2 linked regions of the Caenorhabditis elegans genome follow. The protein of the gene in region 1 purifies or fractionates together with the protein of each later gene. This does not show direct contact. Each region holds a gene or a part of one and is shown in the gene's direction. Other genes may lie near its edges.

Region 1 (3,755 bases):
CGGAACCGCCGCCGATCTCGATCAAGTCACAAAGATGCTCTCTGGAAATCTCCGTCTTCTGGAATTAAACACCGGGCGCAAGGCTCGTGTGATCACCGCTCTTCGTCAAGCTAAGCAGCATCTTTTCAACTATCAAGGATACATCGGAGCCTACTTGCTCATTGGAGGAGTCGATCCAACTGGCCCACATCTTTATATGTGCTCCGCCAACGGAACTACAATGGCCTTCCCATTCACAGCTCAAGGATCTGGATCATATGCAGCTATCACTATTTTGGAGCGTGATTTTAAGGTTGATATGACGGTAAGTAGTCTATTTTTGAATTCCAATGCGCTAAAAATACTATAATTATATTTTTCAGAAAGATGAAGCCGAGAAGCTTGTCCAACGCGCCCTGGAAGCCGGTATGCACGGTGACAACGCCTCAGGAAACAGTTTGAATCTTGTGATCATCGAGCCAAGCGAGACCGTCTTCAAGGGGCCAATTGTGCCAGAATTCTGCAAGCGACCAGAGCCCAACGACCTCGTCTACAAATTCCAGGCCGGAGCCACCAAGGTGCTGAAACACAAGACCTACAAGTACGACGTCGTCGAGTCCATGGATATCACTCACTAAATTGCGGTCTTCTGTCGATGTGTGTATTCTTTCCCCCAATTATTTATTTTTTTTCGATTTTCCATCCGTTTCGGTGTCGTCGGTGATTACTTTTTTCGGTATTTTCGTATCCGCCGGCAGTTCTTATCACATTTGTTTTATAAATTCCGAATATAAACTGTCTATTTTCCTTAAAACTGGTATTGTTTGTTGTCTTAATTTGGACTGAAAGCCGGAAAAATGACTTGAAAAACGCTTTCAAGTGTTTTTCCCAATAGTAAAAGTTACTCTCCGGGTTTTAAAAGGAAAAAACTGCGAAATGAATAGATTTTCCAGATCTGAATTGAAAACTTTCTGCGAAAAACTAATTTCCACCTGAATTCTTCTCAAAAGTCAAGAGAGAAGAGTCAAAACTCACAAGAAAAAAATAATCCGATTTGAATTGCCGCGCAGAGAGTTAGATGTGCAGGTCATATAGCAAACACGCTCCACCCACCAATCATTGGCGCGAAACATTTTTTTGTATCTTGTTCTGACTCATTTCCCTGCCTTCCCCGTCGTAATCAGTGTCGTTTTTCCGAAAAATTCCAAATTTTATCATTATTTTATCAGTTTTCCATAGTTTACCCTCATTCGGCCGTGTTCCGGCCCTTTCAAAAATGTTTGTTTTCACGTAAAATCGAATTTTGAAGACGTGAAGCTTCTTCAAGTTGAAATTCAACATTTTCAAATCATTTTGCGATTTCACAAGACGGTTTTCTGCTGCATCTTCCTTGATTAATCTCCGAAAGCACGTATGTTTCAAAATGACTCAAAGTAATCCCATTGGGAATTGCGAAATTCCCATTGTTATTCTCTGGGTCTCTTACAACGGGGTTTTGGCTCCCTTGCAGTCCACTCCTTTGCACTCATTTCAATCCGCTCTCCACTGGCGCCCCGCTATTTCGTCATCATTTTTTTGCAATCGATGACTTGTCCACCGCGGTGTCCGATGTTGGGCTATGTTGAGAGAGCGCGCGCGCTCGTGCGTTCTCGGCCCTATTTGGGCTCACTTTCGTCTCTGCTCTCACCGCAATCGTTTCGTTCTCATATAACAATTGTCTTTCTCTTTTAAAACTTTATAATTTTCTTTTTCAGAAAAGAAAATGCGTGAGGTCATCTCTATCCACGTCGGACAAGCCGGAGTCCAAATCGGAAACGCCTGCTGGGAGCTCTACTGCCTCGAGCACGGAATCCAGCCCGATGGAACCATGCCAACTCAATCAACGAACGAGGGAGAGTCGTTCACCACTTTCTTCTCAGACACCGGATCCGGCCGTTACGTTCCAAGATCCATCTTCGTCGATCTCGAGCCAACTGTCGTTGACGAGATTCGCACTGGAACCTACAAGAAGCTCTTCCATCCAGAGCAGATGATCACCGGAAAGGAAGACGCCGCTAACAACTACGCTCGTGGACACTACACCGTCGGAAAGGAGCTCATCGACACCGTCCTCGACAGGATCCGTCGTCTCGCTGATAACTGCAGTGGACTCCAAGGATTCTTCGTCTTCCACTCCTTCGGAGGAGGTACCGGATCCGGATTCACTTCGCTTCTTATGGAACGTCTTTCCGTCGACTACGGAAAGAAGTCCAAGCTCGAGTTCTCCATCTACCCAGCTCCACAGGTCTCAACCGCCGTCGTTGAGCCATACAACTCGATCCTCACCACCCATACCACCTTGGAGCACTCCGACTGCGCCTTCATGGTCGATAACGAGGCCATCTACGACATCTGCCGCAGAAACTTGGATGTTGAGCGACCAAGCTACACCAACCTCAACAGAATCATCTCCCAGGTTTGTTGAGCTCAATTTGATTGTTGTATTCTAATGTTCTCTTTTTACAGGTTGTCTCCTCAATCACTGCTTCCTTGAGATTCGATGGAGCCCTCAACGTTGATCTCAACGAGTTCCAGACCAACTTGGTGCCATACCCAAGAATTCACTTCCCATTGGCCGCCTACACTCCACTCATCTCTGCTGAGAAGGCCTACCACGAGGCTCTGTCCGTCAGCGACATCACCAATAGCTGCTTCGAGCCGGCTAACCAGATGGTCAAGTGTGATCCACGTCACGGAAAGTACATGGCTGTGTGCCTCTTGTACAGAGGAGACGTCGTTCCAAAGGACGTTAACACCGCCATCGCTGCAATCAAGACCAAGAGAACCATCCAATTCGTCGATTGGTGCCCAACCGGATTCAAGGTCGGAATCAACTACCAGCCACCAACTGTTGTGCCAGGAGGTGATCTTGCCAAGGTGCCACGCGCCGTCTGCATGCTCTCCAACACTACCGCCATCGCTGAGGCCTGGTCTCGTCTCGACTACAAGTTCGACTTGATGTACGCCAAGCGTGCCTTCGTCCACTGGTATGTTGCCCGTTAAACTATACTTTTCAAATATTCAATGTGTTTCTTTTCAGGTACGTCGGAGAAGGTATGGAGGAAGGAGAGTTCACCGAGGCTCGTGAGGACTTGGCTGCTCTCGAGAAGGACTACGAAGAGGTCGGAGCTGACTCCAACGAGGGAGGAGAAGAGGAGGGAGAGGAGTACTAGATGCTCCCACAATCAACTGCCTGGCGATTGACTTTTAATTTATTACTGCAGTTCGATCGTCATAAACAATGTATTATGAAGTATTTTATTTATATAATGTTTTTTGTTAAAAAGAGAAAGAATGAAAGTCGGAACACTTTACGTTTATACCGAGTTGAGTGCCGCAGAGCAAACATGTACAAGCCGACAGTATTTGAGCAGCAGACGCTTGTTCTGCTCATCGATCAGTATTAGATTACAGAAATGGCTGGGCATGTGAATGGAACATGTGCTCCAGTGATTCCAAAGGTTGGTGATGAGGAAGACGGTGTCGGGCAGTTGGTGGCAAATCTGAAAGAGAAGGGAACAAATTTTGTTCTTTTGAAGAAGACTCCACAGATACTTGAATTGCAGACAATTTTGAAAGATAGGTATGAAGTTTGACTGGGAATAGACTGAAGCCTCAAACATTTTATGGGTGAAAATTTAAAGAAAGGGGCTGAAAACTCATATTTCCAAGCTCTTTTTCCAGATTTTGCGGAAAAATTAACGATTTTCGGTATTTTTGCCGGAAAAACTTGTTGA
Region 2 (3,133 bases), on another chromosome or scaffold:
CATGAAGACGCGCTTCTATAGAATCGGAACTTTAGATCTACAGATTCAAATCTAAAGATAAAGCCGACAGCGAAAAAATCCAGAAAATCGCATCGGCTATCTAACCTTCTTCTTAATATTTCTATTCAACCGATCCATACACTATTTATTCTCTCATAGAAAAAAGACACAAACGGACAAAATCGATAGGGGACTAAATTAACAGAAGACGTCTCGAGAATGAGATGAATTGGGGGAAAAAAGAATACGAAAAAATCGGATGGCTGTTTCGTCCTCCCCCAGCGACAGAGTTTGTATGTGGAGCTTTGAAGAGTAGACGAAATCGGATGGTGTCTACCAATGGTACATCGTCTTCTGGAAATCGACGTAACGGTGAGACTTGACGAGCCAATTGAGGAACGAGTAGGCGAAGATGAAGCGGAAGATTACCTTGACCTAAAAATAAAAAAAATTAGTATTTTTTTTTTAAATTTAAACGAACAGTGTTATTGTAGACTGGTCCTGAGTAATAGAGGTTGTGGACTCTCCAGATATTGCGCATGAACTCGTTGTAGAAGGCAGATGGGGTCTTCTCACGACGAGCCATCCAGGCTGGAAGATCTCCTAGCTTCACATCCATGAACTTGGTATCAAGCTTTCCGTAGTATCTCCAGTGGCAGTATGGTCCGTGAACGTTCTTGTTCCATCTCTTGTCGAACAATCCAACCTCGGTCTTGTTCAACACGCTAAAAATTATATCGGTTATTTTTGGAAAAGAATTTTATTCGTCGTTTTCAGACAATGACAAACCGGTTGTAGAAGAACACTCCGACACGCTCAACGGCGCGAGAGATCGGGATAAAGATCGCGTCCGGAACCCATGGTCTGAGTTGAGTGTGTGGTGGTGGAGGACGGAACCAGGCCATAACTGAAAATTCGAAGAATTAAAAAAATAAAAATAAACCAGATATTTAATTAAATAGTGAGAATCGAGTAACGATTAAGCCAAATAATCAATAAACAAGAAATTAATTAGAAAAACAACCAAAACAGGCATTTTGTTCAATTTAGCAAATATACACATGAATATCAGGAAGAATATACATTTAAAAAAGAACGTTCCAGCTCCAATAATCCTTAACTATGTGCTAAATATTGTTTTAAATATAAACATGTATTTTTGTAAACATTGATCATTATCGACCATGGGATTACGTTTCAGTAACGCCTAAAACGAATTTAACTCAGAATTTAGTGATATATTTGATTTTAGAAGAAATTAATTGAGTAAATAATGAAAAATCGTCAATATTCCACTTTTAAAAAATGCTTAAGAAAAATGTGTGCAGTTTTCAACGGGCGGCGATACATTTCGGCTAATCGCTGCGAGACCCATGGCCGTGGCCGAGTCTACAACTAGTTCACAAGAGCCGAAATGGTGGGAAAGTCGAGGACTTTAAATTTAATGTTTTTTATTTTCGAATTTAATATTTAAAATCAAGTATTTCCCTTTAAAATTTTATTTTTCAAATCAACTTTTAATTTTTGCAGTTCAAAAAATGAGTTCCGGCGATCAGAATCGAGGAGGCGTCGCCGACAAAGCACTACAACTTGTTTTAGAGATGAAAAGAAATCCAGATGTATTACCGCCTTATAACGTAAAATTATATCCTATTTTCTGCTTTAAATTTGAGTTCTTTTCAGACAGAACTTGTACGCCAATGTTATCAGAAAATCGATGAGTTGTTTCAAAAGAATGCTGCCGTCGTGTAAGTGATACATTTCGGAAGCGTACCGATTCGTTCGTGACTTCTTGATTTAAAATCATATTTTTCAGTGAAAAAATCCGTGCAGGACTCCCTCATGATTCTACGCTTCTTCAACCTCGTTTAGCTGCAATGTGCCATATTCGAGTAAGTCGAGAAGGTCGATTTTTGAAATATTGTAGTGGTTCAATTTTCCAGCGTTGCATGATGGCCTATGTGAACGAGAGGAAAAACAGGATTCGATCATTCAGATGGAAGTATGGAGGTGCTCTTCCCGCGTCTGTTAGGGTAATCGGTGCACATGATTAAAATTTGTCAACCATTATTTTTCAGAACGCCCTCTGCGATGCGGAAATTCAGTTTTTCAATGAGTATTCGAGCACATTGGCAAGATTCCAAAGCAATCTTGGAGAAGGTGGTGTTAATCTGCTGCTTCATTCTGCACCACCGAAGTCACTTTTTGTACAAGTTAGAGCTCTCGAGGATTATGGAGAATTTGAAACGTCAGATGGAACTCAAGTTCAGCTGTCCAAGGATAGTTTGGTAAGTCTTCGAATTTTTCTTTATTTGAAAAAAGAGAAATCCCGTTTTTAATTTTTTAAATAATGTATAACATTTTTCAGCACTCCCTTCCACGCCAAGACTGCGAAATGCTGATACGTCAGGGTGTTCTCGAGCTTGTTCATTGACTTGTTGTCGGTATTTTGTTTTCAACCTGTGATCTGTATAAATAGCTTCTTGTCAGTTTATTTTACAAAAAAAGTAGCCTCGTTTAATTAATTAAGAAAACACATAAGTTAAAAAATTATTTCGACTTCTCCGAGAATTTCTCGACGGCAGCACGAACTTCCTTGATATCGGCAGCATCTCCCCACTCCTTCTCCAAATGAGTGAACACGATGTCGTTGTTAGCAATCAAATAAACACCTGAACAATTATTATGAAAAAATAATTTTAATAATTTTTCGTACCTCCCAAAAGTCTTCCCTCTCCTTCCATGTTTCCCTCGACCTTGGCTTTCTTTGCTTTGTAAACATTCGAGTAAGTTCCGAAACGAAGAAATCCCATCCAAACTGGCAGCCAGCGTTCGTTTGGACCGTAGAAAGTGCGATCAGTGTCCAAATAGACATCACCGCCGGAGAACCAAGACTTGAACTCATTTGCTCCACGAGTCTCGTGCACAACGGCGGCCTGAAAGCAAAGTTTTAATTTTTCTATTTTGAAGGAGCGCTTACCAGTTCGATTCCTTTTTCCTTGAGCAACGGGAGCAGTGTGTGCAATTCAGCAGCTTCACGACGGCACAGCATACATCCCGGACGACGTACAGCCATCACCATGATCGGACCTTTCTTGAACAACGAGTCGGCCTGAAACTTCTCAAATAATTT

Evidence for each region. The genes of interacting proteins can lie anywhere in the genome.
Region 2: the proteins of tba-2 (region 1) and psf-1 fractionate together in Caenorhabditis elegans (co-fractionation; one large-scale study listed by BioGRID). This does not show direct contact.

Annotation. Positions count from the first base shown.
Region 1 is NC_003279.8:12,964,250-12,968,004, reverse strand, and holds tba-2 (Tubulin alpha-2 chain), read left to right. Parts: upstream 1-1,733; 5' UTR 1,734-1,741; coding exon 1,742-2,434; intron 2,435-2,484; coding exon 2,485-3,005; intron 3,006-3,058; coding exon 3,059-3,191; 3' UTR 3,192-3,331; downstream 3,332-3,755. Other genes in the region: pbs-2 (Proteasome subunit beta), read left to right, coding at 1-304, 363-617; C47B2.2 (Phosphoribosyltransferase domain-containing protein), read left to right, coding at 3,435-3,601. UniProt on the Caenorhabditis elegans protein: Tubulin is the major constituent of microtubules, a cylinder consisting of laterally associated linear protofilaments composed of alpha- and beta-tubulin heterodimers.
Region 2 is NC_003280.10:9,967,143-9,970,275, forward strand, and holds psf-1 (putative DNA replication complex GINS protein PSF1), read left to right. Parts: upstream 1-1,530; 5' UTR 1,531-1,538; coding exon 1,539-1,637; intron 1,638-1,683; coding exon 1,684-1,748; intron 1,749-1,816; coding exon 1,817-1,892; intron 1,893-1,943; coding exon 1,944-2,033; intron 2,034-2,078; coding exon 2,079-2,288; intron 2,289-2,368; coding exon 2,369-2,434; 3' UTR 2,435-2,488; downstream 2,489-3,133. Other genes in the region: R53.4 (Putative ATP synthase subunit f, mitochondrial), read right to left, coding at 334-435, 482-725, 790-905; R53.5 (Peroxiredoxin-like 2A), read right to left, coding at 2,551-2,672, 2,717-2,936, 2,981-3,112.